4 linked regions of the Drosophila melanogaster genome follow. The protein of the gene in region 3 interacts with the protein of the main gene of each other region in a pairwise test. Each region holds a gene or a part of one and is shown on either strand. Other genes may lie near its edges. The genes, in order: mab-21, CG12868, CG15561 and CG12268.

The links.
Region 1: the proteins of CG15561 (region 3) and mab-21 interact in a two-hybrid assay, tested with the Drosophila melanogaster proteins (one large-scale study listed by BioGRID).
Region 2: the proteins of CG15561 (region 3) and CG12868 interact in a two-hybrid assay, tested with the Drosophila melanogaster proteins (one large-scale study listed by BioGRID).
Region 4: the proteins of CG15561 (region 3) and CG12268 interact in a two-hybrid assay, tested with the Drosophila melanogaster proteins (one large-scale study listed by BioGRID).

Annotation. Positions count from the first base shown.
Region 1 is NC_004354.4:6,005,751-6,015,547, reverse strand, and holds mab-21 (mab-21), read left to right. Parts: upstream 1-2,366; 5' UTR 2,367-2,725; coding exon 2,726-3,473; intron 3,474-6,390; coding exon 6,391-6,740; 3' UTR 6,741-7,365; downstream 7,366-9,797.
Region 2 is NT_033778.4:14,603,095-14,609,039, forward strand, and holds CG12868 (uncharacterized protein), read right to left. Parts: upstream 2,204-5,945; 5' UTR 2,107-2,203; coding exon 2,073-2,106; intron 2,012-2,072; coding exon 1,542-2,011; 3' UTR 1,455-1,541; downstream 1-1,454. Other genes in the region: tra2 (transformer 2), read right to left, coding at 67-195, 254-407, 890-1,005; CG33469 (uncharacterized protein), read right to left, coding at 2,599-3,081; CG33468 (uncharacterized protein), read right to left, coding at 3,280-3,767, 3,835-3,865; Su(var)2-HP2, read right to left, coding at 4,323-4,739, 4,804-5,945.
Region 3 is NT_033777.3:31,211,527-31,217,507, forward strand, and holds CG15561 (uncharacterized protein), read right to left. Parts: upstream 4,417-5,981; 5' UTR 4,356-4,416; coding exon 3,282-4,355; 3' UTR 3,250-3,281; downstream 1-3,249. Other genes in the region: zwilch, read right to left, coding at 1-42, 104-599, 657-1,763; CG1542 (uncharacterized protein), read left to right, coding at 2,018-2,083, 2,146-2,229, 2,288-3,061; ATPsynC (ATP synthase, subunit C), read right to left, coding at 5,488-5,651.
Region 4 is NT_033777.3:23,941,796-23,951,823, forward strand, and holds CG12268 (uncharacterized protein), read right to left. Parts: upstream 6,630-10,028; 5' UTR 6,544-6,629; exon of another isoform or gene 6,396-6,543; intron 5,068-6,395; exon of another isoform or gene 5,050-5,067; 5' UTR 5,036-5,049; coding exon 4,814-5,035; intron 3,617-4,813; coding exon 3,222-3,616; intron 3,000-3,221; coding exon 2,890-2,999; intron 2,821-2,889; coding exon 2,370-2,820; intron 2,312-2,369; coding exon 1,894-2,311; 3' UTR 1,833-1,893; downstream 1-1,832. Other genes in the region: Gdh (glutamate dehydrogenase), read right to left, coding at 799-1,216.

The sequences.
Region 1 (9,797 bases), on a different chromosome or scaffold from region 3:
GTGTCCTACAGAGAAAAAGAGGGGCAATGTTGTTTATTCATTATTATTAAGTTGCCATTAAAACTGTATGTTTGTATAACGAGTTTATGCGCAAGGGACAGCTAAATTTTTTCCGGTGCAGATGCTGGGAGGGATTGAAGGTGGAGATCTTGTGCAGCTGATAAGCAGTGCCTCCCGATGAAGTCGTTTTTTGGAGGACCCCAAAGAAGAGCCGGCGACACACTGCCAACATACACAATTTAATTAAAGACGCGACTACCGGATAGGATTGGATCGGAAACTATCGCCGATCGATCGACGATCGCTGACACGCATAAATCCTGCACATCGATGCTAAAGATCGACGATATCGGGCTGTTGGACGGACGGGACCTTTTACGGACCTCTCGATCTGACCTTGGCCACTAATGAAGATCTCGAGACGCCGCTCCTGCGGCTGTTGCATAATTCATTTCCAATTTATACGCCATAAAAGCGATAATGGCCGCAATTAAGTTCGTGTTCCTTTGATAATTTTCCACATTTACGCGGCCATTAAAATGATTCTGAACGCATTTTTCAGACCCTCCTATCAGCTCGCCTCATTTCCATTTCCATTCTAGGTGTCCATGCCCATACCCATTCCCCATTACCGTTCCCAATCCCCGACAGGCTCCATTCAACGCTGGCTTATCGCAAAGAAAGAGAGGCGTAGAGATGGGAAAAGCATCTGGGGGAATTGGGAATATTGCATGCGTATAGATATAGCCATAGTGCGAGTATAGTCCAACCCCGAGGTGTTAATTAGCATTATCTTAATGCACGTTCCGGCACACAGTTCAAATTGAATTATACATAATAATTTGTCCGCCGCTCTTTAAAGTGCAACTTAATGTTCGAACGGACAGGCCATCTCCATCTTGCCCTCTGGATCTCGGACTTCTGGGCCTGGGTCTCCGGTCTCCGGTCTCCGGAGGGGTATGTGGTGACCCCACCCTGGACGAAGCGCAAATATGGTGGAGTGGATGGGGTCCAGAGAGCTCGTGTTAAGCGCTCATTAATCACATTAGATATGCATTAATTCGGTAAGGAATTCAATGGCGTGTAGACGAGCGAAAGAGACGGCGGCAGTTGGGGGAGGGAGATAAATAGATACTCTCTGGCGGAAGAGAAGGAACCATTTCTTTTAGGATAATCTCTGGGAAAAGTATTACTTAGATTTCATGTGTAAGGTTTTTTTTGCTATTAGCAATAACAATAATAAGATGGAATATTAATGCACTTATTTTCGAGGGAAACAAGTTGCTTCAATTTAATATATCTATATAATATATATATGTCCATATACTGAATATCCACAACTCATAACTTGGCCAAATGTAACCCAATTTGCACGTGGCATACCTCTAAAAGCTTGTGCTTAAGCCATCTAAAAATCTGTATTCCAATTTAGTTGATTTTTGAAAAATAATTTTTTACCAATTTTTTGTTATTTTAATGATTGTTATTTTATTTTCCAAATTTTCGAAAAATGGTTAAAAAATTTAAAAGTCCAGTTTCGAATATACGATGTTAGTACGGCACGAGCTGAGTTCGGGAAGGTATAACATTTGAAGATACGACTTGTTTTAGCCAAGTTATGATGCATTGATTTTGTGATGAGGTGGCCTTAAACAAAAGTTAAGCCATTTATTAACTTTTAACATTCAACAAACGTATGTCACCATTTTGGACTACTTACTTGAAGAGTAAACAAATCAATATTTATAATCCCAGGACTCTTTAGTTTACTTCTACTGTCTGGCACATTAGACTTGTCCTGCGACGCCCAACCCAATGTACGCTCCCATCCGCAAAAAGCCACCAACAATTCCCCAATAACTCATTCAGTCCACCGTTTCCACCCACCACAAAGGCAACAACAACCCCAAGCAGGCAAAACAAACAAACAAACGAGGTGAGTACTTAGTATGGGTGAGTATCTGTGTGAGCGAGGCAATGCCTAGATGCGCGTGTGTGCGTGAGAGAGTGCCAAAGGGGGCGGAGCCAATGGAAGGGTGGCTTAAAAGCCGGGCTTATCTACGGGAATATAACTATAGAATAAACTATAGCCAAAGATCTGCAGTGTTTCCCTATGCTACTTTATGTTACTTTATGTTTTTGTTTGTTTTTCAAATTATAGTTATAGCGAGAGAGAGAGAGAGAGCGGCACAGCCATGTTGGGGAGCAAGCGCGAAAGAGAGAAAGAGAGAGAGAGCGCGCTCGTGGCTGGAGCTGTCTCGCTCGCACTTGAAAAGGGGAGCCCATCTGGGCTGCGAAGCCAGCGGCTGCAGCGACGCTGGCAGAAGCTGAGGCAGCGGCAGTTTTCTTGCGGTGCGCCCGCCATTCGAAATCAGTCAATGTTGAGTTGACGGCGCGAGAAGACGCGGGAGAAAGAGAGCGGAGAATTGAAGAGCTAGTTGATGAATCAGAAAAAAGAATTAGGGTCCCCGTCGCTGTGCCGTCTTGCAGAATCTAAAAGAATCTAAATATCACAATATAGGGATACCAAATTGAAAGAATCAAAAAACGAGAAACGAAAATAATCCAAGTTGCAGAACCGTCGCTGTGCCGTTAAATTACTTATTGTTTTTTGTGTGTGACTAACTACATGTGTGCCTCCTAGGTAATGAGTGAAGTTGGCAGTGATTCCAACAGCAGAGACTAAAGACTTTTGGGCGCCACCAAGTGCCCCGCCGTGTGGAGAATGCTGGTGCCGTCGGACATGATTGCGGCGCAGTCCAAGATGGTCTACCAGATGAACAAGTACTGTGCGGACCGTGTCCAGGTGCGCAAGGCGCAGATCCACAAGCAGATCCAGGAGGTGTGTCGCATCGTCCAGGACGTGCTCAAGGAGGTGGAGGTGCAGGAGCCGCGCTTCATATCCTCGCTGAACGACTACAACGGTCGCTTCGAGGGCCTGGAGGTCATATCGCCCACGGAATTCGAGATCATCATCTACCTGAATCAGATGGGCGTGCTCAACTTTGTGGACGATGGCACCTTGCCGGGATGTGCCGTCCTGAAGCTGAGCGATGGAAGGAAGAGATCCATGTCCCTGTGGGTGGAGTTCATCACGGCCAGTGGGTATCTGTCCGCCCGAAAGATCCGCTCCAGGTTCCAGACCCTGGTGGCCCAGGCCTGCGACAAGTGCGCCTACCGCGACATTGTCAAGATGATCGCCGACACCACGGAGGTAAAGCTGCGCATCCGGGAGCGCATCATTGTCCAGATTACGCCCGCCTTTAAGTGCGCCGGCCTTTGGCCGAGATCCGCCTCCCACTGGCCGCTGCCGGGCATCCCATGGCCGCATCCCAACATCGTCGCCGAGGTGAAGACCGAGGGATTCGACATGCTATCCAAGGAGTGCATCGCACTGCAGGGCAAGAACTCCGCCATGGAGGGCGACGCCTGGGTGCTCAGCTTCACCGACGCCGAAAACCGGCTGCTGCAAGGTGAGTTGCCGTCGGGAAATCTTAGACGGGTTGTATTGTCGTCTATATGGGAACTACTCAGGGTAGAGCACTTAACTCTTTTTTCACACACTAGCTTAAAGACTGCAACTCTTGCAATTACATAGTTCCTAGTTTCCTTTATGGTTAAAAGATATATCCTGGTATCCACATTCACGCCTTTCAATTTATACACTAAGAAATATATTTTATCAAGCGAATGTTATCATAAGATAGATTTGAAGACAAGTATCTTTGTAGTCGCAAAAAATTCTTAATTAATCGGAAATACCATTGCTTTGAAAACTATTTCTCTCAGTGCCGAATGAGTGGCTACCGTTTTTCGGGCATGTTTTGGTAGTGTCCCCCAATCAGTAATCAGTGACACACTTAAACTGAATTGATTTATTCCCATCAAATCAGCGACTTGGTCTTGATACGCCCGTAATTGGTTGTAAATTAACCGTCGGACGGGGGAACATCATATCATTTTGGAGATCTTTCAGCTAGTTGGGAAAAAATGAAGTTCCATTTTAGTTTTTAGTAATCTAATGAGAAGCCCACTTAATGGATTTAACTAACTTTAGTTGAATTCTAAACGGCAGATTCTATGGAAAGCTATGGAGCTATGGAAATTGGATTATAGAAGGATCTTAAGAGATCACCATATTAGGATTCTTTAAAGGATGTTTTACACTTGTATCATTTTTAAATGTTCATGTAAGATAAGATATCATTTGAGCTTAGGATCTCAGAATGACTGCTTATCGTGTAGTATTATCCAAAATCGATGTATGTATATCTACGATGCGAAGATGGTCACAATCAGCTTGCAGCGATTGTCACACGGAATCTGCATAGTTGGGCGGGAAATTGCACTGCAGATTCAATTAGGCAGGGCGATAAGATGGCCGGCGATTAGTGGGGACCCACTCGCATTGAGTCGACGACTGCCCAACGAGACATCCGATTATCGGGCCCAGATATGATATGAGATACGAGCCAGCGTCGCCCGGTTGGCTACGATCATAAATCTGATGTTCGATCGATGGGGGGAGTCTCAGCCCGAACACGGGGAGTTGGAGTCTTTAGCTCCTCAGTTTCTGTTTTTTTTTTTTTTTTTTTTGGGTATTTGGTCGCAGCGCGACAACGCACACAAATCTGCTGATCCCCGAGAGATAAGCGCAGTCTCGGTAGTCGTAGTCCCAAGGCAGTTAGACGGTTAGTTGGTCGGACTATGGAGCTACAGAGCGAAAGAAACGGGTTTCTGTATGAACAATGCCAATGGCTGGGCCATAAATAAGTTTCTAAACGATTTTATAAATATTTTAAATCTCGGCGATTAGATAAAGTCAACAAATAAATAAAACAACAGCCAGGCCAGGCCAGGCATGAGATGACACACACACGGGGTAAGAAAGGAAAAAAATAAAGAAAGAGCCACAAAGATTGGGTTTTCGGGGGGGGGGGGGGGGGAGCTAAAAGCTGGGAGCCGAGGCAAACCAGAGAAACGAAAATCCAGCCAAAAAATCGAAACAGAGACAGTAAGAGAACAGAAACAAAAAAAAAAAACAGAAACAAAAAACTGAAACCAAAACTGAAACCGAAATCAATTCTAAGGCCGCTGACAACGATCTCTGATCGATATTGATCCGACTTTTTTCACCGCGTGTTTGTCATTTAATTTAATGCTCTCCGAAAACTGAAAACGAATTGAGACCCAGACTCCGACTCCCCCTAAACTAGCTTTCTGGGAATAAGGTGGGGTACATAAGTGTATCGATATCGCCAGATCGTGACTATAATTAGCACGGTCACTAGCAGCTACCAAATTAACGTCCACTTGACATGGACTCGATTGGGATTGGGATTTCGATTTCGATTTCGATTCGAGGTACTTGGAATCGCACTTGTTTTGCCCGATTTCTTGCGACCCCACGAGTCGAGTGCCAATATTGTGGCAATATCGTTCAATATTGATTAGCCCAAAATGTGAAACGGAACCCGGAGCAAGACGCTCCGGAGCGGGAAAAAAGCCGTAGACGTGATTATCGGACCGGAGCCGAGATTAGCCCGGCTGACATCGTGCCAACGTAGCCATGATTTATGTGCTCCAACGAACTCGGGCCACAATAAATTAGGAATCAGTCCGACTTTATACCTGTACGTCCGCCTCTCGAAGGAGAAATTGAAACCAGAACATAAGTACCTCATATACGTATATGGGTTGATCAATCAAACTGAAGGGGCGAAGAACATAAAGAATTGAATATTGCCACAGCCTTATGATGTTTGTATTACTCGAATCTACTCAATAATACCTATCTATGAAATATAATATATGTAATTTCACTGGAAGGATCTCAAGTGTTTTAACTTTTTATTGGTAGTATGAATATCTTGAAGTTTTAAATACTTTTATTTGATATCAGCGCACGAAAGGCATGAGTCAGGGTACGAAAATCCAAATAGGTTTCTCAAGTGGTCAAAATAGTTAGCGAAATAAATGAACCGATGTACTTGAGATAGAAAGACTTCTAATGACCAAACCCATCGATCAGTTGCTGTTTAACTGACAAAGAACGATTCAGCTATAGTTCTGTCGAAATCGTTTCGATTCAATAATATCGATAGCATCGCATGGACATAATGATGCATTGAGCCAAGGGCAATCTTCGGAACTCCATTCGGAACTCCATCCTTACCAGCAAGGCCCACCCACTAACCCAATCAATATTATATGCTTTCTATGTTTTTTTTTGTTATAGAACTGATAGGAATTGATATGTTTCAAGTGCTTTTAAGCATCCTGTCTTATATTTTGTTGCAATTCTATGAGACTATTTAGGCTTAACTAGACTTTAGTTTGGGGAATTACCTTATTCAGCAACTCCATTCCATTTCTTCACCTCAATTCCAGGAGCGAGTCGACGACGCTGCCTGAGCATTCTGAAGACCCTGCGTGATCGGCACCTGGACCTGCCCGGCAATCCGGTGACGTCGTACCACCTGAAGACCCTGCTGCTCTACGAATGCGAGAAGCATCCGCGCGAGATGGAATGGGAGGAGAACTGCATCGCGGACCGGATCAATGGGATATTCCTGCAGCTGATATCCTGCCTGCAGTGCCGCCGCTGTCCGCACTACTTCCTGCCCAATATGGATCTGTTCAAGGGCAAGTCGCCGGGTGCCCTGGAGAATGCCGCCAAGCAGGTTTGGCGGCTCACCCGGATCATGCTGACCAATGTCCGTTGCCTGGAGGAGCTGTAGAGCTGCAGAGCTGCAGAGCTGTAGAGGCACCAGCACACACTAAGCACTAGCTACTACGAGAATCCATTGGATCTGCGGACGCTGCGGGGGCAGAACCGCCACTGGGACTTCTTTTTTTTCATACGCCTTTTGTTTTTTTAGTGATTTTTTTTTTCTACAACTAAAGACAAAGGATCGCAAGGATCAAGGGCGCTGGGAGGGTCGAAGCTGGAGAAGGAGAAATGTGTGAGAAAGATAGAGAGAAAGCAGTGAAATTGTAACCCAAATACTATTTGATATTTCGCTAGATCGTAACTTAAGTTTAGGTGCTTTCGAAAAGTATACGCCGCTTACAGAGTTTCCTATAATTAGAGCATACTTAGTGTTATCCATTTAGATCGTCATCGTCGCAAAACGCACAAAAGTTACCAACTAGTTACATTTGTATGTACGACATTTTTTTTTTTTTATTGGTCCATTTGCTATTAGCAAAGTGCAGAGCAAAATTAGCTAAATTAGCTGTAAGTCCTAATGAAACTGAGACAGCCGAGTGAAGGAATATTTCCCCGTCGGTCCTAAATTATTTATTCTATGTTTTTGCCTTCTTCTTGTGAGTTTAGTCAATAAAACGTAAGTTTTTTCAATGAAAATTAGCAGGGTTATTACTTTCTTTTGTGAGAGGGGTAGGTAAGTACGTACAAACCAAGGAAAAGTCTTAACAATTTAAGAGTATTTTTACGTAAGAACAATTTATGTGATATTAATGATTTGCCCAGTTATCGGGTTTTGAATAGTTCTGACATAGCAATTTTTTGGTATGCGGAATATCTGTCCGAACTGCCAACTTCTCGAGGGTCTCGTCCGTCGATCATCGGATGGCCTTTTGATGTTCTGCCGGCATTATTGATAGGCCACGATTTCGATGGATTTCGATGGACTGTGGAAAATGTCAGAGGCTGACATTTCGTTGGCTGTCGACAGGTTGCGCATTTTAATTGCGAATTAACAGCGATTCCGCGGACAGCTAACAATCCCAATAAACTAAACACACACACGCACGCACAATTTGTGTGTGCCGCATCTGCCACGCCCACCCACGCCCACCGCTCGCGAGAGTGACTCAGAAAGTAAAGATACATTTGTGCTTTCCCGTCGAATCGATGAAACATTTTGGTCACGTGTCTGTTTCGATTTCGAGCGACAGACATAACATTCAAATTAAACTTTATGTCATTCATAAATTAAATAATTTAATTTTTCCCCCATTGTTTCGTGTTGTTACCTTCTTCTGTTTTTAGCTTTTGGCAGTCAACTGTCCACTTCTGCGGCTCTCCATTATTTTTAGCCTTAATTTATACTTTATTGCGACCAAGTTGATTTATGCATGTGCGGCTTTTGTATTTTATAGTTGTAAATTACCCAGCAAATGACAATTGCAGAGGCGACACGCAAATCATGCTAACACGGCATAGTCGCACCTCTGAATACCCTTTAATGATCATAATAATTTGCTTGAGATACATACTGCACAAAAAAAAAAAAAAACAAAGTACAAATATTGTTCTCTTTTTAATTTTTGATGAGAACATTTTCGATTTCGATTTGCATTCCAACACATTCACATTCACATTCGGTTGGAATGGATCGAATTTATTCAGGTGGGCGATTTGGTTATGGCCATTTATGACGGCGATGATTTTGGATCAACTCGATTGGGCTAAATTCGATTCAAATGTCTTTTATTTTTCGATCGGGTTGTTAACCGCCTAGTTGCGCTTTTAATGAGTTGTGTTTTATTGGATTTGATTTGCATTTTAATGCGGTTTCATTCTCAAATTTATTATTTGTTGTCGACGCAGACGCAGTGCGTCTGTGTGTTTCCTTTTTATATTTTTCTAAACATTTGCTTATTCCATTGAGCGGCAGACACTGTTTGATCCGCCGCTTCCCACACAAATTAAACCATAATAATAATTAATAAATGATAATTTCGGCAATCGGCTGGTCCTCCTCTGGTTCCCATCTTCCTGTTTGCTGTCACCATCGCACTGGGAGATTTCCATTTCCATGCAATTTATATACGTTTTAATGGCCGCAAGAGCAAATTTTATGAACATCTCATAATCGCATTTTAAACACACAATTTGTCACAGCCCCTTCGCATGTCACCCACTCGAAATGATCGCCTGCATATGGCATAGCAATTAAGGAATATTCATTTTTATTTCCACACCCATTTGCAGGCAATAATTAAAATTTTATAACCGCTTCATTTTGGGTGTTCTTTTTTTTTGTTAAGTTTAAAACAAAGTTTGGTTCAAAATCAACCGGTGCGTGCAAGGCATTTCGCACATCATTGCGTGACAAATCGGCGGAAAATTCACTCACTTGTGATATATACATATTATATAAACTTCTTATATACCGGTTAAATCTGGCGCTGAACTCGATGAGGACCTGCTGTCCCAATCTTCTGACCGCCTGTCAGCCAGCATGTTGGCCACATCCCCACCGATCCCCGCCAGCCGCCAGCAAATCCGCACCTCATCCACCTCTGGCAAATCAAAACAAATGTTTTATTTAAATGGTTAATTTGATCGGGCCAGAGCATCTGTGCCGGCCGGCTTGTTGGCGATGGCCAAATGAGCAGCTTACAAGGAGATGATGAGGCCCGAGGTACACAAATGGCTGCCAAATCGTGAGAATTGCATTTGGAATGCCACCAACTGAAGTCGATTGGATTCGGGCTCTTGGTTCTTTGGTTCTTTGGTTCTTTGGCTCTTTTGAGGGCACCTGGCAGGGGATTTTAATTTGCTGACTTCAATCAAACTGCAGTAGAAAAGGCAGCAGGATGAGGCAGTGGAGGCAGTGCATTAAACCCGCAAATATGCTGCTGCCCGGGATGAGCTGGCATTGGCTACACTGGAACAAAACTAGGCACTAGATATAACCTAAATTATAAAACGCTTAAAATGACTTCCAGCAGGAGATACCAAAACGTGGCTTATAAAAATTCGATTTATATTTATAAAACTTTCAAAATAAATGCAATATCAAGGCATATTTAACTATGAATTT
Region 2 (5,945 bases), on a different chromosome or scaffold from region 3:
GATTTGTCTACACAAAAGGATTCAGGCAGGAAATATCTTAGCAATGCTTATCGAAAACCGACTTACTTGTGCGTCAATCACCATCTGGATGCGTTCGATAGGTCCGTACTTGTTGAACAGCTCGCGTACCTTGTGCTGCGAGGTATTTGTGTTCAGTCCAAAGACTCCTATGCAGCGGCTTGCTTGTGGATGTTCCTGAAACGCCGAAGATCTTTAGGATTGAAAGGAGGCATTAATCGGCAGAATGGCTTACGCGAGACTTGTGCATTCGTTCGCGATCGCGTGATGAACGTCCGGAGCGATGACGCGGCTCCGGTGGCGGCGACTCCGAGGAGGAACGCGAACGGGAGCGTCGGCGAGAGGAGGACCGCTGGTGCCGGCGACTGCCACAGTAATCGTAGTCAGACCTTGATTCGATGTGGAATGGAATGAAATAAGATTATCTTGCGGTTCGTTCTTGAGGGTCTTGAAAAGTTTTGTATTTCGTGTGGATTTCGGGTGGTTCTTGCACGCCTTGGTAACTGACAGTTGGAAAATTTGTGTGACTTGACAAATGCTACGGTTGGGTTCGACCTCTTTCGGCCAAATTCTTTGGTAGTTGGACGTAGAATGAAAATGATTGCTTCGGTGGGTTCTTACATAGTGATGTTCGTTGGTTGGTTGGTTGGTTGGTTGGTTTCTTCCAATGAAATGAAATCGGCTTGAATGATTTTTGGTTTTAACTTTCTTGGCAAGAGCACCAGCTGAATCGGCTGAGGGGGCAAATCCAAATGAAAGGGCCCTATGACAGTTGAACCTTTTTTCCAAACTGCCAGTCAAAACTACTCGATGCTTCATGTCAAAAGAGGTATCGTTTAGGGTCGTCTCACATATGTGTGTACACATTTACCTGCGGTCCTTGTGTCCGGATGAAGTTGTCCCCGCTGACGATGATGACGCCGATCGCTTGTGTTTATATCTGGCGCTGCAATGGAGACGCCCGCTACTGAGTGGCTCCCGATCCATTGGCTTTTTGCTTACCTATCGAAACTTCGCTTATCGGAGCAATGGTGGCGAAAAAAGAAGATGAATGGGTGCACACTATTTGGATTGCCGTTCTTACCATTTTTGAGGGTTTGATTCCCTGCTATATTGCACACCCAATCAGTGTTTACCAATTAATTGATAGCCTTTGGCAGGTTTTATTTATTCTGTCTGCGTTTAGAAAGACGCACGCTTCAACAGGGGTGGCGATAGGTGAGGACGTGCGTTATCGATTGGCACTTTAACCCTTATGCGGCGTTGTCATCCATTTAGAAAAAAAAAACACAAGCGGAATTTATTTAATGTTATCGAATATATTTAACAAATTAAATCAGCATAATTATTATGTACTTTATTCAACGAAATATAGGAAAATAAACAAAATTTGTACTACAAGAAAACAATACTATTTGATTGGTTAGCAAACCATTATGTTATATGGATTTTGTAATAGTACAATTTATTATTCTTGCTTTTAGATAGTCATATACAAATTTAATCCTAAATCACAGGTTAGTTTAGCGATACCGCATAGACCACATATTCTTCACCATCACATAATTATATAGTCTCTGGTGTTCCAGATGATGCAGATCCGTGATGGTTTTCACCACTCGCTCGTCGTTGAAGTGGCTTTTAGGTGGGGCTTCCAGGAGATTTCCCGTCGTAAACCACTTTAGGTTCGAGAAGTGCTTTCTCACACTGTCCCGCAGAGCAACTCCACTGAAAACTGGTGTGCGGTACAGATCAAACATATTCTTCTTGCCATACTTCTCGTGGATCTCATCAACGGTCTTGTCCAGATCAGGCTGCTTGGCGTGATATATGACCCATAGTTTTCTTTGTGGGGCACGGAGATCTGTCAAGCTAAGAACTCCAAAGAATTCTACTATGTAGGGATTGAGTTTGGGTGTTTCAGCTTTTGGTTTTAGACAGAACAATTTTCTCAAATGGCTGTCGATTTCCTCATCCAGGTTGTAATCTCCTTCTGCGAATCGGTTGTTAATCATCGTTGATGTTCCAAATAAATAATTTGCCGTTTTAATTACCCGTGTTCTTATCAGTTACTGAATTCGTTGTCATATTTTAATAACGAGGTGACTCTTGCTTCTCTGACTTCTGAATGCGTGTTAACTTCCTACGCACTCTTATTAAATACCCAACAAATACGATTTCAACTGATTTGTATAAAGTTTGTTTCGTTTTGTTTACGATTTCCAATTTCACAACAAAAGAGCTTTTTGAAGCAACCCTGTGGCCTATCAAAAAACAGTGAGCTTTTAATGCGCTTGTTTCTTTTTAATACCTATTAATGCAGACAACTAGGGTGTTTATGTTTGTTGATTAGGATGATCGGATGACTGTGTCTTTAGACTCCAAGGTATATACTATTATGTACTACTATATTATAACCGCAAGCTACTTGTGTGTGTATATATTTTATTCGACATATTTTTATAAATCATTTAACTTGACCAATAGGTTGTAAAATGTATAATAATACCCCCTATCAACAAATACACATGCCGCTTTTAGTCAACAGATGTCGACTGTAAGTCGATGTTTTTAGTTAGTTTAATGTTTAGCAGGAGGTGGTTTTTGATCATTATACCGCTCAAACCAGGCGTGTTGTATCATTATATAGTCAAAGATTCTTTTTTGCTCCTTGTTATGCAAGTCCGAAACAGTTTTCACTAGTCTTTCATCATTATAATAACTATTTAGTGGAGCTTCCAATTGATTTCTGCTTGTGAACCATTTTAAGTTGGAGAAATATTCTCTGACGACTTTATGAAATCCCACTCCGCTGAATGTGGCGATCTGAAATATTTCTCTGACATTCCTATTGCCATATTTCTTTCGAATCCTTTCCAGAACCTTTAACCTTTCTAATCTAAGGCCATAATAAATGTACCACCGTTTTTGGGCAGCGACATTTGGTTCGTCAATACTGAATATTCCGAAATATTCTATCGTATCAGCATCCAACGACGTAGGTTCTGCAACTGACTTCATATAAAATAGACGTCTCCAGTACTTTTCCAATTTATCGTCCATGTTGCTAATATTCCCTGCTATTAAGAAATATAATCAGATGAAAACTTAAGGTGATTCATAGGCTTTGCCCATTGATAAGTGTGCGGCAATTTTGCCTTCCTACCTCAACAAGCGTTAAAAGAATACTGGTTAGCATTTATTGGCATTTATTATTTTAAAGCTTTATTCTAGAAAGTCTTATACATAAATGAAAATATTTTATGCATTTATGTTTCGATATGTACACGATTTATACAGATTACTCCTAGACATAAGGTAATCGAAGTATCTTCTCCTTTCGTTCTGATATAAATCTGCAATTGTGTTAACCACTTTCTCATCATTAAGGGAGCTACCTAGCGGGGCTTCCAAAATGTTTCCTTTTACGTGCCACTTAAGCCCTTTAAAGTGGTTCTTAACACGGGATCGCATTCCAGCCCCTGTATATACCGGTTTTCTGAACAGCTCGTACATATTCTTTTGGCCATATTTACGATGGATCTGATCCACAGTTTTGTCCACCTGATCTGTTGTCGCATAGTACATGTACCACAGTTTTCGGCGAGGCGCTCGAACATCGCTTAAACTCAGAACTCCAAAGTACTCCACTTCGGTTGGAATGTACTCATTTTTAGTATCGATTTCCTTTAGGCAAAACACACTTCGCAAATACCTTTCCAGTCGCTTTTCTAAATCGGGATATGCACCTGTAGATTATTATATACATATGTGCATCATTATAATATGCCTCTGTAAAGTTTTAACTAAACTTACTATTGGGAGCTTCAACAGCAGATGTTGTCATCTTGAAAAATTTGTTGTTAATAGAAACGGTTTTTCCCCTGCGCAACTTTTATACTTATCGCTCTGTAATATTTCACAAGAGCTTTAAGATTTCGCCAATGGCTCCAAAAGCTTCGAACGAAATGTAATTTTTCTTATTTCTTATTTTACACGATTTATGCGTTTCGGCTTATATAAAAAAATGTTAGAATGTTTATATTTATATTTTATTTGGATACTTAATAAATATGCAATGATAACTATAAGATATTTACTTGAAAGTCCCACACTGAATAAAATATTTAACCATTTATTTCAAAAAAAAAAAAAAAAAATGACGATGCTGCGTAAGGTTTAACAAATTCTTCATTTCAGAATTACAAAATTATGATTTTGCGTTCAACGAAATAATTAACTCTTAATTAACTGTGCTAAAGTAACTTAGAATACTTTCCAACTGGTTTATAGTCTTTGCCCTGCTATATAATAATCTCCGCAGAATCATCCAGCTCGCCTTTGATCACCGTCGTTTCCATGTGCCCTACGCTGCTGTTGGAGTCAGGCAGGATGCTTTCCTCTGACTGCACCGCGTGGTTAATGATGAAGACATTCGGATTTCCGGTGGTACTCAGACTCATTCCGGCGGGGGATACGAATTCGTCAGCAGGAGTCTCACCCAACACTGCACTTAAAGACCCTGTTGATTTCGCTCGTGCAACGGATGAGACTGTGCTCTTGGACAGAGTTCTTGCCGGCGCCGTCTGCTGTTTGCACAGCGCCGGTTTCTGCACAGCTGGTGAAGAATTCATCGACTTTAAAGGGCCCGAAGTCCCTGGTTTTTTCTTGGCATTCGTCCTTGGTGCTGGCATACACACTGTTGTGTTGAGATTAACGAACTGTTTAGGAACAATAAATTGTTTATTAATGACCACATAAATATTTGTCGTAAATAATAACTACCTGACTAGCGTCTTCCCGAACACTTTTCGGGATCCCCAACGTGGATCTTGGCTGAGCGTTTCCTAGAGCTGCTGCTGCTGCTGCTTGGGATGTGGAGGCTTTCACAGGCGTGCTGGTGGCAACATATGAAGACTTTCGCCCTGCCGTCGATTTCGAGCAGCTATACGGAAAGCCAAGTGTGTTCCTGCCCCCATCGTAAAGGGGAATGGTAGCGGGGAGAGAACTCCGCTGTTGGGCATGGTCCGCAGATATTTTCTTCCCTTGCTGTGGGATGTCGGAGGTGGCTATGCTTTTGGAAAGCGTCGAGCTGGTGGAAGCGCCTAAGCTCGAGTTGATTTGGGCCGGGGTTAGAGGAGTCATTGTGCTGGTAGCCTTGTTTAAGTAATGTACATAGTTTTCCAAAAGCTTTGTACCCACATCCACGTCGATGGCCATTAACGAGCTGGTCCTTACAATTTCCTCAATGGTACGCTGTCGCTCGGCCACTGATAAGTTGGCTGCCCGCCGGCTGAGGGTCTGGAGCACCAAGTCAAACATTTGAACCCTCGCCTGCAACTCCACGCGCTGCTTGTCGTTGGGGCAAATCGGAGGTAACTGAATAAAGGACGGCGACGCATTAATTACCATCGAGGTGCCGGCTAATGAGGGATTGGTAGCCACTTGTTGCACTGACTTCTTGATCAGTTTTGTGCCACGTGGCAACTGTTTGCTTAAAGAATCCAAGTCCGCCGAAATGGTAGTGGAAGAGGAACTGCCTGAAACTACGGGAGTGGAAGTAGATGGGTCCACGGTTGTGGGATGATTAAATAGACCTGGATCAGGTAGGGGAGCCGATAGCAAATTCTGTATAATCGATGGAAACGGTTGAGTTGCCGGACCAACCGAAGCGGGAGCAGGTGAAAAGGATGAAGGACCGGTGGGATCAGCAGTCGGAGTGGTAGCCGTCGGGGTCAGTTTACTGGAATCCCGTTCTTTCGACTTGTCCAGTAATTCCAGCTTTGCCCGCACCTTACTTGGCATATTCTTATCCGCCTTAGAGATAAACTTGGTGGTTATAACCAGGAACTGCGGGATTTCCAGCACCGGTACCTCGGCCTTCGAATGCAATCGAGTAAAATCAATAGCCCGCATTGGTCCATCGA
Region 3 (5,981 bases):
TAGGCGGTTTCTTCAGCAATTCAGAACAGACATCGTTGTAAACTGTAGGTCAAAAACGGAGTTATAGCTAAAAATCCCAGGATCTGCTTTTTGTCCTTCTTACCATTTGCCAGATTTAAGTGGATGTGCATCATCAGGAGATGCTCTAAGGTGCAGTGAATCTGAAACAACTTTGAGATTCTCTCCGTACTCTCGTGCTCGTCGAAATGGCTGTTTTTGAACCCAGCATCATCGTCGCTACCGGCATATTTTGTACTCCGCGAATTGACAGCGCCGTGATGATGCAGCAGCGTCTTTCGCATTCCAGCTCCAGGGGTCGGATCACCCCTGACCGCATTGTGCAGGGATTTTCGAAGCTGGGGCAGATTCTGGGGAGAACCATCGTCCATCGACGCTCCGCTGGAGTCATCCTTCAACAGATTGGTGCTGCACATCTTGCTCTCGGTGTAGATAAACTCGTAGTCCTTGTACAACTTCTCCAGGCCAATTTCCAAAAGCAGTTCCAGAGGCTCGGCCCCACTTAAACAAGGCATGGCCAGACGACGGTTGGCCAACTCGGTGATAATCTTGGCAAGTCGATTTTTGTTAGTAGGCGTGTTCTATGGGGTGAGGAACATGAATAATATGTGGTGGTTTGCATGCATTAGCATACTTACTACTATGTTACACCGTGCAGCACATTGGAAGAGCATACTAAAGGCAATTTTGAGATCCTTGTAGGAGTGGCAGCACTTGAGCAGCTCCCAAAGCTTATCGGTTAGATCCGTGAGCTGGCGAACCTTGGCCCTCTGCACCACATCTTCGATGTCAAACTCCGCATTGCTGATGCTATACCGACCTATAAGGCCAGAGACATCTGTCATTGTCTGATTAATGGACTCGCGCAGCTCGTCCATGTCAATGCCACTGCCACAACGATAGGTGGGATCCCGAGAGACGCCCTGCTTGACATCCGTGTGGTAGGAGACGATGTCCTCGCGTATGTAGACCAGAATGCGCAGCTGATTCATAAAGTCCTGCGTCAAAGGACCGCAGTCGCCCACGCGAAAAGTGTGATTCAAAGCCACATCGCAGTCGTTCAGGTTCACCAGGAGCGGAAGTGCAGCACTAGAGGTCCAGGAGCAGCGTAGTCTCATGTGGGGATTGACCTGGTAGCTATTTTCAATGAGAGTTTCATCCGGTGTCTTGCCATGATGGCGCACCAGGGCTTGCGAGGTTACTAAGTAAGCAGGGCGCACACCCTGGTAGCTAAGTATTCCCCTGGAGAAGTGCGTAGGGTTGAACTCGTACTGGAGCAACTGAGTCTGCCCGAGATCACTGCCGTCGCACAAAAACCACACGGATCCGAGTCCCTCGGCCAGCTGCAGGAACTCGGAGCACACGATGGACCTAGCCTTGTCCACGGGTATTCCGCGTTGATATTCCTCCTCCAGCTTCCAGGGATTCGAGTGATCCAGCTGCAGGTCGATGGACAAGTCGGCTATGGCGTCCACCAGGCAGTCGTCCTTCAAAGGACTTCCCGTCAGATCCAAGTCCGCAGAGCCCTCTTTTTTTGGGGCTGCCCTGGTGGGCGTGGTCCGGAGTCTCGCCACTGCTCCATTGCGATCCTCCTTAAAGACCAGCACAATCTTCTTGCCAGCTTCCGCAGCCCCCACCATGCTCACCAAGTAGGTGGGTGGCGCTCCATAGGTGATCGTGTATGACTCGCCACACCGCCGCATTAGCTCCGCGTAAACGTTTGCCAAGTTCGCAGAAGCCGACATTTTTGGAGCAAATTCGCAAAACAGAAACAAAAAGCGGCAGTATTTGAAAAGCGAAGCGAGAATTGGTTAAACGGTCACACAGCACTTCGCTTTTTAGTGCACCTCAATAATTTTAGCAGTAAGCCGCGTGAAGGTCACACTGCAACATCGATAGCCGATAGACTTAGGCCAGCAACAATCGATAATTCTTATCCCCGCACGTGTTGAAATTGTTTTCTTTTATTTGGATCAGATTTAATTTAGTTAATTCAGACATGTCGGACTTTGAAATGGAGGACAGTGCCTCGGGCTACGACTCAGGGGATAACTCAGATGCCGAGGTAAGTGAGGAACCGAAGAAATGAACACCCCGTATACCAAAATCTCCACTCTTTTCCTGCAGCTGCAAGCGGCATTTGAGCGAGGCGACTTGAAACCAGGCCTAAATGTGGAATTCAATGGCCAGAGAGACAAAGTGAACGATGTGGTAAGTAGCTAGCTGGATGCCCGCTTTTGAATCGACTAATCCAATCCTGCCCACATAGACCAAACTGCTGGCCAAGACAGAGGCTATCAAGATGCAACTGCCTTGGCTGGAACGCCTGGACATGATCAACACACTAGCTCCACTGGCGCCGGAACTCGCTGTACAGCTGGAGAAGCACGAGCAGAAGCGGGCCAATCTCTTCAAGGGCAACGCCAAGCTGCCCTACATTCGGCCCGAGGAGGATCCCGTCCTGAATGACTTCAAGAGGGAGATGCTCTTCCACCGACAGGCGCAAAGTGCTGTTCTGGAGGCCATTCCCCGCCTTCACGAGCTGGGCATAAAGACTCGTCGACCCGATGACTACTTCGCTGAAATGGCCAAGTCCGACGAGCACATGCAGAAGGTGCGCGCCAACCTGATGGCCAAACAGCAAGGACAGGCGAAATCCGAGCGCATCAAGCAGATCCGCGAGCAGCGCAAGATGGGCAAGATGCTGGCCAAACAGACCAAGGTCCAACGCGAAGCCGAGAAGAAGGACATGCTGGACAAACTGAAGAAGTTCCGCAAGGGCAAGCTGAAAAACCTGGACTTCCTGGAGGACGCCAAGGCGCTTGAGTCCAAGCAGAAGCAGTCAGCCGAGAATCGCAAGAAGCGCAACAAGAAGTTCGGCTTCGGCGGCAAGAAGAAGGGCCTCAAGAGGAACACAAAGTCCTCCTCCGCGGGATTGGATGGCGACAAGTCCTCCAGGCGCCAGCGGGGCGTAAAGGCAGGTGCTTCGGTCAACAAGCGGCTTGGCAAATCGCGACGCATTAAGGCCAAGGGCAGAAAGTAATCCCCGGGACTGCCGACTATATTTAGGTGACCAAACTCTAGTTTTATAAAGCCCCCAATCCTGTATAGATTTTTTAGACCCATAAATACATAACATTTTGTGTGCACACAGCCTTACTTTCGAAATGTGGAATACTCCGTATAGAATTTTAGAATTCCATGAGCAATTTTCATAAATTACATTTTTCTAACATCGTTTATTCTAAAGTGGACTATAACTATTACACGTTCTCCTTGTTCTTTCGTTTCTTTTTTAGTTTTGTGCTAGTTTCCGATTCCTCCGAAGAGTCCGCCGTTTTTCGCTTCTTTTTTGACTTTACTTGTTCATCAGTTTCAACATCCTGGGGCAGTCCTTCAGTTGCTCCAAGCCCTGCTTGCCTATCCGCTCTCTTGTCCTTCTTCTTTTTTATCTTCACTGGCTCTTCGACTTCCACACCGTCTTCCTCTCCCGGCTCCCGTGTCTTATTTTTTTTCCTCTTGATCTTGACGGGATCTTCTGGAGTTTGATGTGCTGGGGATTCCTTTCCTGCCTTCTCAGCCTTGTCTTTCTTCTTTTTCTTGGATTTTATGGGCTCTTCCAGTTGGGAAACCTCACATGCCTCGGAAAACTCCTCCGCTATGGATTTTTTCTTTTTCTTTGCCTTCGTATCACACTGCTCCACACTGTCATCAACTGACTCCACTGCTCGATGCTCGGTTTCAGGCGTAGTCTTCAGCTTGCGCTGAAGCTTCTCCAGCATCTCGCGCTCCTGCTGCTCCAGGCGGGCGATCTTTCCGCTCAGCTTTAGGCCATGCCGTGCTCCTTTGTGCGCAGTCCTTCCTCCGCAGGCCTTGAAGAGTTCCGCATCTGTGAGTACCGCCACCTTGGTGACCTCAATGTCCTCCACCCTGATGCGTTCGGAGGTCTCAACCTCTCCACCGCTCTGCGTGAGCAGCGAAGTCTGCAGGAAGTTGTCGTAGGTGGCCTTTCCATCGCTTGCGTGCTGCTCCTTCGCTTTCTTCAGCTTGCGCGCGGAGAATCCTCTAGTGGATATCTCCACCGCTTCCTCGCCCTTTCTGCGGGAGGTGGACACCTGTCCGTCCTGCTGAATCTGGACGTCCACATTGCTGGCGGCCTCGTTAAAGCAGCGCTCCCACCAATGGTCATTGAATTCCTGGGCGCGATCCACTCCCAGTCCCGCGTTATCGAACTTCAAGGCGGCCTTCAAGGGAACTGCGATTCCGGTGTTGTTCTTGCCCAATCCGTCGCCCTCTTTCCAGCCGTATTTTCCCAGTATCTTCTTGGCGAAATCCATCACAAGAAATGTGAAAAATCAAAATAAACAATTGTGCACGTGCGGCGCAATTGTTATCGATAAGCAGATCTATTATTTCACATCACTAACAATTATTACAGGGCTACTTGTGTCGATAGGTTCTGCCAATTACAGGGTGACTACGGTCCTAGCACAACAGAGCTGCATTCGGGCGCCGAAATTTGAACTACCGAAAATTAGACGATTCTGTGTAAATTATCAAGGAAGTAAATCATTAAATAAAAACAAACTTGGCCAAGATTCCATTACACATTCATTTCTCCTTTATTTCAGATTTCAGCTGCGCTCTTCGGCTCATTTCGTTTGCAACTACTCTTAGTACAAGTTTCTTCATAAATATTAAGTGGCAATGAACAAAGACAGCTTTTACATAAAGAAACTGATTTTTTCGAATACAAAATACTTGAAAAAACGTAGACTTTCAGTACGCGCCACAATAAAATCGAAAAGTTGCTGAGCTCAACGATCCACCGCATCTCCGCCCAGCCACGCCCACACACTCGCCCATCCAAGATGTTAGTCGCAGAGGTGATCTCCACGAGATGCCTGCCGCATGTCCAAGAACTTCGGGGAGAGAGAGAGCCTTGGTGGGCGCGCATGGAGATCCTCCGCCGAATGGGCCGAGTGCACGAGGATGGCTGGAGTTCGTTCGGGCCATCGATTGGGTTGTGTTTTCGGTGAGCCGGAAGCTTGCTTTAAGTAAAATCTAATTTTAATGTCTGTCGTCTGGGTATGGGCGTGAGCGTTGGCTAGTCCAATCCGATTGAATCCAATCCTCCTTCCTCCTGATATTTCGGTTGTTCAACTTAAAGTAGGTGTGGTCTTCTCCTCGCTCGCATGTTTTTTAAAAACAAAATTACATGTATTATGTGGTTGTTGTTGGTATTTATAATTAGATAGTTGTACAGGATGTTCTTGTTTGCTATCAATCAATCAATCAATCATTTTATCATTAATAATCGAAAACGAACGTAGGTGTTGCTTGTTCTGGTTGTTGTTGTTGTTTGTTTGTTTGAAGTGTTGTTTGGTTGCTATTCTCGTTCGCATGCGACTGGCGCACGCGCCCGATCGCAGGAAACAAGGACGAGCAATCGATGTGCAGCAGGCGCGCTTAGAAGGCGAACAGCAGCAGGAAGGCCATCATCAAACAGAACAGACCCATGGCCTCGGACAGGGCGAAGCCCAGAATGGCGTAGGAGAACAGCTGCTGTTTCAGCGATGGGTTCCTGGCGTAGCCGATGATGAGGGAACCGAATACTGTTCCGATACCAGCACCTGTTGTATTGGTTCGTTGTGTTTCGGTCGCGAAGTTGGGAGGAGAAAGAAGATCAAAGCATTAGTACCCTGTCCAAGTCAGTTGGCATCTCCGGTTCTCGCCGAAGCTCGCAAGTGAGAAATGGAATTCGGACAATGGGGAATGGATGGGTCACCCTGACGCGCCTTTAGCTTCTTTCACCAGGTAGTCAGTCACAGATTAGTCTGAATTGAGTTCTGCCTTAGAGGCAGCAAGCACATCGCACTAAAAACGCTGGCCACGAAAGGTTTCAATGCCAACCAGGCGGCGGTCACCGGGGGCAACGGCAACACCTGGTAGCAGGATTTCTG
Region 4 (10,028 bases), 7.3 Mb from region 3:
TGACAACAAGGAGATTTTTTCTTTTTTTTTTTGGTGGTTAGGGGCGTTACTTTTTTTTTAGCACTTGACACACTGTGCAGTGCTGTGCTCTCATTTCAATTAGAAAGCAAAACACAAGCAAAAGTTCATTATAAATAGCACCCAGCCAAAGGAAAAACAAACAGCAGCGAAAGAATCGAAATACATTTGCCAGCTCGAAAATAATGAAATGTGCGAAAAGCGGGCAGTACATTCAGCATATGTACATCTGTTTTTGAATGGTGGCACACTTGAAGGGTTTGGAAATCTAATGCAAACACGTGTGCCCAACGTCCGAGCCTTATGCAATGCGGCCTAAAAACCCTCAAATAACAAAAAAAAAAAAAAAAAAAATGTGGAGAAAGGGGGAGCCCAGTCGGCTAAAACGTAAACAAAACAGGCGGCAGCGGTACATGCGCAGAACGTGGGGAAAAGGGGGTCTGGTCTGGTGTGGCTTATATACTGGGTTACATAACTTGAAAAATCAAGACGAAATGCCAGAAATGCCTAAGGAAAAATCGATTTTGCATCGAGCGACAACAGCTGTTCTGAGGGTTTCTTAAAACTTAAGTAAGTGTTGACAAATTTTTGCTTTAAACTTGCTAGGTAATTGCATTTTTTGTTTTAGATTTTCAAGGAAAACTGAATCATCTAGTGGTCTCTATAGGTTTGGCACTTTTGTTTGCATCCCTTTTGAAAACCTCTTAACGTCTCATTTTTTACTACCTACGTGCAGAGTTCTGACTATTATATCTTGGGTTATCTTGGATCAACACTTGCCTCCCTTGGTGGGCGTCTTGTGGGTGCTGTGCTGGGCGCGGTAGCCGGTGATCATCTCGTAGTTGCCGGCATCGCGGCGCAGGGGGAAGGCGATCTCGATGATGTGGTCGCAGGGCTGCATCAGCATGAGGATGCCCTTCACCTTCTGCTTCTTCTCGTCGCGGGTCAGCTTGCCCTTCATGTCGTCCACCAGCGATTCCTCGGCGATTTGGCAGCCGCGATGGAAGAAATACTCGACCATGTCGAAGAAGCGCGGATCCTTGGCGGTGGGCACATCCTTGAGGCGGTCGGGAATCTGGTGCTCGGTGGCATAGCCGCGGCTCGACTGCATCACAGCGGTGGGCAGTGCCTTGGCCAGCGTGGCCAGCTCCTGCTGGCGGCGGGCGCCCTGGCGGGCCAGACTCTTCAGGTGATACATGCTGCTAATCGCTTGGATTCTTCGGGTTCCAACTCTTTTTTTATTCTGTTCTACACAACCGCTCGCTACTCGACGCCGCACCAAACTGGCCGAGGCACTCGCATAGATATGTATATATATGTCGGCTTTTTCGGAGCGCCGAGCTTTTTGCTCTCCGGCGAGAGCGGTGCAAACTTTTCACCGAAAAGCTCTGTGGGTGGAGTGCCCGCTAGAAACGCGGCACCACCGCCGGCGGATTACTCGCTTCGTTGCCAGGGCGAGATTAGGTATTTGTTATCGGTTTCACGTTCACGTTTTTCTTTGACTCCAAGATTAAGCTATGATTTATCATCTTCGGCTATATGTTGAATTCAGGGGGGTACTGAGTTTCTTTTAGAAAGCACTTGAAAATCTAAGTAATAAACATCGTACAGTACAATACAAACGATATATACAAGGTATATTTTATATAAGGTGTTTTTTTAAAGGTTTTGCTAAATTTTTTATTTAGAGCTCATACTTTCAGGAATTTACCACGTAACTTTCGGGCTTATCATGCTATTGATCTTTCACACAATTCCTATGTGACTGTTTTGAGTTTTAATCCTTAGTTAAAATAGAAATAAAACACAGCTAGCTTACTTAAAAAGAAACAAAATCTTGTGGACTATATTTGAAGTACATAATTAAAGAAGAGTTTATACATGTATGGTGCTGTTTCGCTCATGGTAAATGGTGCTGAGCGAGGATCGGATGAAGGCATCGCTCCGTTCCACGAAGCCATCCAAATGGGTCCACAGGAACCAGAAGCTCAGGGAGAAAAACAGCACTTTGCTGACCCAGTCGAGGATATACAGCCGTCGCAGGACCTTCCTGGCCTGCGGCAGAGTGTCCTCGCTCTCGCCCAGTATATAGGTGCGCATGCCCACAATGTAGTTACTGATGTATGTCTCCCAATTGACCTGACCCACCGACGTGTCGAAGAGGTCCTGATCCAGGAGGCTCAGCTGACTGCTCATCTCCTGGAAGCGCTCGTTTCGGAACTCCCACCTTTTCGTTGTGTAGTACTGCAGCAGCTTCAGACCCATGGACACTTTGCGTTGGACATTGAGTAAGCTGGATGGGAATAATCCATGTGTTAATAGGAGAACTTAAAATTTAACCGTTTACTTACAATGGCTTTTGGCCAAAGACGAGCAGCCAAAAGTCGATGAAGTATGCGGGCAGATAGTGGAAGAAGATGACGCAGAAAAGGTGGTGGTAGTAGTTCTTTTTGATGGATCCACCCGGATACCAGAGCGCAAAGCTGAGCGGCGTTTCGTAGAAGAATCGACGACCCGTCTCGATGCTGTCGCCCCAGGACATCAGCGCCTTGCTGGAGATGCACAGATTGCAGAACTCAACACCCGTCTGCTTGTTACCCTTCTCCTGGCTGGCCTTTCCGCGCTGATAGCCGCACAGGATCATGCCGTTAATGGCCTTGTCTACGGGTATCACCGTGGAGGCGTAGTCCGGATTGCAGTGCATCGATCGGATGACTCCGCGGGCGGCGCCGATCATTAGGCCGGTGGGTCCATTGACGCCCTCGATCCAGCCGGGCAATGGCTCGTGAATGGCGGCCGTCACTGCAATGGATTTAATAAAGCAATTAGCCAGGAGGCACAAAAACAGAGTAGACACTATGGTATACCCACCGATCGAGGGCCTTGTGATGATTATGGGCAGCTTATTGTTGTATCTGCAAATTAAATCTTCCGACAGCGCCTTGCTGTAAGCGTACGTGTTTGGCAAGCCGTTTAGTAATCTAAAAATAAGCCAAAGAAACTGGTTATTAGGTGCCACCAAGGTACGCCTGTAAAGGAGCATGAAACTATAGGCACTTCATTATATTTCAGCCAGTATTTAGATAGCCCAAATCTTTATAAGCGTTTGTTTACTAAAAGTAAGTGCTGCTCAAAATTCATTGGACGCGAATAATAAGAGCAATAATATCTGCGGCTCAGGAAGAGCAATTTCAACCACTTACTTGGGTGTAATCTCCGCCAGAGCTTCGTCGTCCATCGTCTCCACCATTTCGATGATGGAGAAGGGGTTCTGTGGAGCCGGGTAGGCTCGCTCCTCCAGAACGCTCTCGTTGCACTGGCAGTATGAGGTGGACACGTGGACCAGAGCCTGCAGCTGGCTCATCTTCTCAGCGAGGCGGAGGACCTTCAGGGTGCCCACCACGTTCATCATGACCATGGGACGCAGCGGCTGGTCGAAGCGCACATTGGCCGCACAGTGGAAGACCACCTCGACGTTGGAGGCGAGTGTGTTGGTGTCATTGGCGCTCAGGCCAAGGTCCGGCTCCAGCAGATCGCCCTTTACCACGCGCACCTTGTCCACGATGCCGGGATTCTTCTCCAGCAGCTTGCCAAAGATCTGAAAGCGAAAACAAGAGGCGGTCGGTCATTAGTTAAGTGTCATGGCGTTGGAATTGCAATTTGGATCCAAATGGCCTGCTGTTCCACTGGCTAGAATCGCGTAATGGGCCATGTCGCTGGTTTCAGCGCCGGCTTAACGTCCAACAATTAAGAGTCATTGTAAGTTTTTGGATTTTTTCTACCAATAATGATCACCTTGACTTATAAACGCCGTGGATGTGTTTGAGTGGGTTGCATTGTGGACTCCACGTAACACCGAATCTCAGTGTCTTTGAGCTGTGCGATAATTTGGTAATTTGCGGGAGTTGCGTTTGAGGTTTTCCCCTTTTTTGCCGGAGGGCAAACGGGGTATTAGTTCAGTTATAGCGTATAATTATATAGAATTTATATCTGAGTTCACGTGCGAGTGCGTCGCGATTCGGATTCGGATTCGGAATTGTCAGGCTGTCTGAAGTGGAAATTATGGCTAACGGCCGGTGGGCAAGGCCATAATACTGAAACACTCATCGCTTCGCATTTTGTAAGATCTTTATTGACGTGTGGCTGAATTGAAATGGAGTGTCTCAATCTATGACTGACTCACATATCACACTTTAAAATAAGCGGAAAACCATTATACAGTCATAAACGAATAATAAATAAATGATTAATTGTATCAAAACTATAGTAGCTATGCAATACGAGACTTACACACTTTTGTGCTTCATGCAAGCTAAAATTTTGGGGTTCTCAGTCGTAATAATACCATAAGCAGTATTATGAAATATCAAACATTTACTAGGGAATTACGAAAATAGCTTTAGTCATATATTCTTTGTGGTTTAGAATTTTAGTTGTGCTGTTAGTAAATATTGCTCAATACTTTTTGGAGAACCCCCGGAAATGCTTTTTTTTTTGCTTCAGCTAGTAATTATTAGAAAATCCAAATCACACAAATCAATATAGTTAGTTTTAATTGGCAACATAGCACATTATACGATTCCATGGAATTTTGATGCACTTCGTTGCACTTTATATGGCCATTACGCATACGTCATGTGGTACAACGGAGAATGGCAATCTAAGTAGCTGCTAATTAAGCTGCTTAAAACGAGGGGGCTGGGCTTTATTTACGAGCCATAAACTATTCAATTTACAGCATTTAATAATGGAATGCTTTGAGTTCCGGTAACTGGAGGCGAATCTGAATACTTACCACACACTTGAAGTACTGCTCCTTGCGCACACTGGGATCGACCCCTTTTTTGGTGCGTATCAATAGATATATGACGTTCAGGTCGGCACAGCTACGCAGTAGTTTCTCCACCAGAACCTTGCCCATAAATCCGGTGGCACCCGTAATAAGGATGGTTTTGTTTGCATAGAACTTGGCAATATCGGACTCGCCGCAATCGGCATCGCTCCTCAGTATGTCCATGGTTAAGCAGCTGTCTGAAATCGGAAAGTAGTCTATACATTCATTATGAGAGTAAGGCTTTTAAAGGATTTAGTTTACTTTGTAAAATTTAGCAAGGGAAGTTTTAATAGTTTACTATTTATATTTTCAAGTTCGCTTTACTGGCCGTTTGTTTGTCTAACCTACTCCGCGCCAGATTCTATTTCAATGTCAGCAGCGGATACTGGTGAAATACGATCAGGCAGAGACAACTGCGGAGTGTTGACCAACCGCGTGTAATTGCCGCGGCCAATTGGGATTTCGGGTGTCCGTTCCCCTGGAACCCCCGAACCCCCCATCACCATTCCCATCACCACCTGGGATACCATCACACCTCGCACATCATCTGTTTGCGTTGGTAAATAGTGACAAGTTTAAAGGCCTGTTAGCGGCCACCGACTGTTTGTTTATTTCATGTTTGGAAAGTGTACGTCCGGCAATGGGTTAATGTTTGGACCATTGCTTTATTTTGGGTTTTTATTTTCGGCTCTTTAGTTTTTAGTGTGTGCATTAGGCTCTTGGGCAATGCAAGTGCGGGTGGAAGTCCGAGCAATTAGCCAGGTTATGATGACTTAAGCGATTTCCACCCATAAAAAGCCTCTGCATTTCACTCTCGTTTTATGGGCGCACTGATTAAAGTAGTTTACTTTTATATGCCGACAACAGGAGAAACATAATAAACGAAATCTTATGGAATGTTTTTCTTTGTAATAAATGCGCTGCAGCTTTATTTTCCATTGCTTAACATTTAAGAATGAAACTGAATCATTGATTGATTGCAAAATTATAGAATGCAGCATTTGTTAAATTATTCAAACACAATTGTTTACGTTTCCGACAAGGCAATTAAAACATTTATAAGTTATTCACATATTCTAGTTTTCCGTACTATTTTTTCTTTGGTACAAGTGTCTCACAGTTTACTTAAAAGTGCTTACACTCAACATTTTATTAAGTAAAATACAACAATTGGTTAGTTTCTAACTTAACTTAACATGAAAGTCAAAAAGCACTTTAAAATGTCTTGAGTTGAAAACTTTGTTGTCCCAGGAAATTGTATGTTTAAATATGCACAATTTGGCAATCTCCTTCACTCATGCAAATGTTTGTCTCCAAACAAAAGACTTAAGACACAAACTCGAAACAATTTGCTCTTTTCCATTCTAACTGCATTAATTTCCATTGAATTTTATTCCCATTGTTATGGCCGATCCGATCTCAGTTTTTTTTAATTAACTAGCACACACTATACACAGCATTTCACGCCTCCTTTTTGGGCGGACGGACAGATTCACGTAACTTGAGGCACGCAAATTATGACATTCGCACACATTTCGCTTACAATTGTTGGATTGACTTTTGTTTTCATTGGGGCTTTTCGTGTCAATTGTAAGGGCAAACACACACGGAGCCAAAGTTCACGTGGGGATTAGGATGGCCAACGACTATTAGGCCAAGTTATTAGCGCCTCGATTGAAGCTGAAACTCACTTCTCAGGCGACGGTGACTGGCGAATCTTCGAGTGTTGTTGGCGATCTCGAATTGAATCGGTTGAAAACTCAGCGGCAACTGAATTGAAAGCGGGCAATTGGCTTGAAGTTATACTCGGCTCAAAGGAAACTCGGCTCTGCCGGCGTCGCTGCCTCGCCAACGCCGCACCAACACAGTTGACCGCTCTGTGTGAACGTGTGCGCCGACAGCTGTGTGTGTGTGTGTGTGTGTGGCCAGGTGAGCAGTGCTGCTTTCCGGGTTGTATCAGGCGTAAGATGAGCTTGCCCTCACCCAGGCAATAAAGCCGAAAAACACACACCGAATCGAAACACTCGAATTAAAGCCAATTAAACGGCACTTAAAGTACTCCAAGTCGAGCGAGGGCAATGCTAATGGATTCCCCGCCTTCGGAATCGGGCCATACGAACTGCAATGGCCTCACAACTCTAGACGGAGTCCAAAACAAAATTCCCCTCGACCGCAAAAAAAGGAGCCGCACCAAACCAAGGCCAGCCACTTGAGGTGGCCCTAAAAAAGCGCATGTCATCCATGGCAGCGAAACAGATGCATGCATACAGTGAGGATCCTTTATAAGGAACTTTCTTTGGAGGGCTTGTCTCACACACGCACACACATTTTTATGAAACATTTCATGAGTTGCATTAAAATCATTTTACATTCAAGTACTGGTCACAGTACTTTATTTACTCTTATTAAAAACACGTTTGTAATGCATCTTTAGCTCAAATGATAAATTCTTAAATATGATAATGAAATCATTTGCTTGACACCTGTACATTTAACCTATTAAAAAAATTTAATTAGGATTTGAAAACCTAATTGATAATCGCATTTATTTGTGTCTCCACTGTAGTGGTATATGCACGAATTCAGACAACTCATACCAGCGCATTTCCGCGCTAAAATGCATTCATGCAATTTTTGGCTGTAGAAGAGATTTTTTCCTCTTGGAGGAACCTGATCCACGGCTGCAAGCTGTGATAATGGCCAGGTAAAAAAAAAAAGTTGCCCCGTCAGGTGAGTTGTTTTGTGGGCTGGCGTAATGTGGGGATGAGGGGCATGACCATTGGACACAATGGAGCACAGGATCGCTGGGGATTTCACAATCCGGTAACAACGAGCAACAACAGAAGATGTCGTGATGAGACGACCTTGAAATTGTGATTCAGCAACGTCTCCGTTACGTTTTCATTTTTTTTCCAGCCAGGTATGTTGGCCCACGGACCTTGCGGTTAATAACAGGCTTCGCAGCTCATCTGTTGTATTCCATTTTCATTTCCCTTTCCTTTGATGACATAATTTGTTTTGGTAGCCCAAGTCGTTGGACGGACGCCCCTGGTCCAGCCCAATTCATAGTTCCACTCTAATTGGTTCTGTAAACGCGACAGAACCGAGGAAACGGTCTCGTCACCCATCCGCGAATTGTACGACCAATCCGGGCTTCGTCTCTAGTCAAGCGGAAGAGATTTCAACACACGTGCCCGCATCTCTAAGAAACTCCTTGGAAAATGTCTTTGATCTTTGCCTTTAACATACCTCGATTTCTATGTGGATACAATGGCATAATCTTGAATCTCGGCTGGATCCTGTTTGACATCCATCTGGTTACTAACTAGCTAGCATTTGCCTTTCACACTTTTGTTGCTTATAAGCTATGCTTAGAACTTGACACTTGTAACTTATAATTGAAAATATTTAAGTGTACAACTCAAAAACTCATAAAATTTTCCTATTATCATAATCTTTCATATAACGTCAAAAGATCCATAAAGAGGCGCAATTTTTTTTGTGAAATAAAACGCAAAATGTTATTGTTTTTAATTAAAAAAGTCTAAATCTTATGTGAGAATTAAGTTAGAATATTGTCATTAGGGGAAGTGGTATACAACTAAATTTAATTAGGATAACTTTGTCAGACTCAATCTATTTCGCATGATCTTAATACTTATATTTAGATATTGATTCTTTTAATCAAGAGCCTAATTTTGATTTTGATATTAAGTTAAGAACTAAATATATACTCTAGAATTGCTCTTCTCCATTCCACAACTCCAACTCCGCATTAAAGTTTTTGATTGTACTATACCGATGAATAATCCAGCATTTGTGAACAGGTTGCTTGAGTAGATACTTACGTATATACATACGTATGCGCCATGCATTCAATCAGTCGCGGCCATCATTATGCAATTTTTTTTTTGCAATTGATTACTCCAAGTGGGCTGGAGCTAAAAGGTGAAGCTGGAGCTGCGGATGAAATAAATGGGATTTCCGATATCCAAAACCCCTAAACACCACCACCACCACCCATCGAATCGGGACTGCCGCCATAAATCAAACATAATTGCAAATCGCGCTTGCTTTCGCAGCAGCTGAATACTAAATAACACTAAATATTTGCTATTTGTTCGAGATTCGATTAACGACTAAGTAGAACACACTAAGGCTTGACCTGAGTCAACCAACCAACTGAGCTGGGTATCGTGCCAATGGGGTATACCCAACTAAAAACTTCGTTTCGCAACTTTGAATATGCTGGTGGCAAAGTTTCAGAAAAGGATTAATAGCTGCTATAAATAATACTATATTATAATAAAATATATAGCTTGAAATGAAGAAATTACATAGATAATATAATATTATACAAAATTCCATTCATATTTATAAGAACTTTATTACTGCCTAACCCATTTTGGTATAGACTAGTGCTATTTTCCAATTGCATCACTTCAACTACTCCCAGGGGAAACCAGTTACAAATCGTGGCAATACGAATGGAAATATGTAGTCATATTTGTTTAACTCAGTTGACTGGGTTTGCTTGTCGTTTGTGGTTCTGTGATTGTTGATGTTTACGCATATCGGCACGCAATATTGTCCATATAACCCATACGCCGTGTGGGCTCGGCCATTATTTTTCCATTTAAAACAGGTCGGCGGCACCGGCTGCTGACGCAAAGTGGCCAGATATGAGATATGCATTTAATTAGCTGGACTCACTCTCACCCAGCTTAGGGTGCATTCCTAAACCACTTTTCGCCTCCCGCGACCTATCCATATGTATGACAATTATACTACTGATCTTGGTTAGCGGCATTTGAACAGCAAGTACTCGAGTATTTGAATGCCTTGGGCTCTGGGCATCGGTTCGGTCATATCGCTACCCACCTCCAAACAGTTTAAGATGGAATCCACTGATTGCGACTGGTGAAAAATTATCCATTTATTGAAATGGAGCTGCTAAGTTTCTTTTAATTGGTGTTATTAAAAGATGAGGGATATGACCGATTTCTTCATATTGACAGCTTTCTTTTAAAACAAATTTAATTTATGATACAAGTGAAACCCTAGTAATATTGAAGCAACATATTTTAACAATTTCAACTTTAGTGATCACTATCAGTAAGTATTAAGAAGTCTATAAAATATAAGTTAATTGACACGTAATTAGGTATTTAATTGG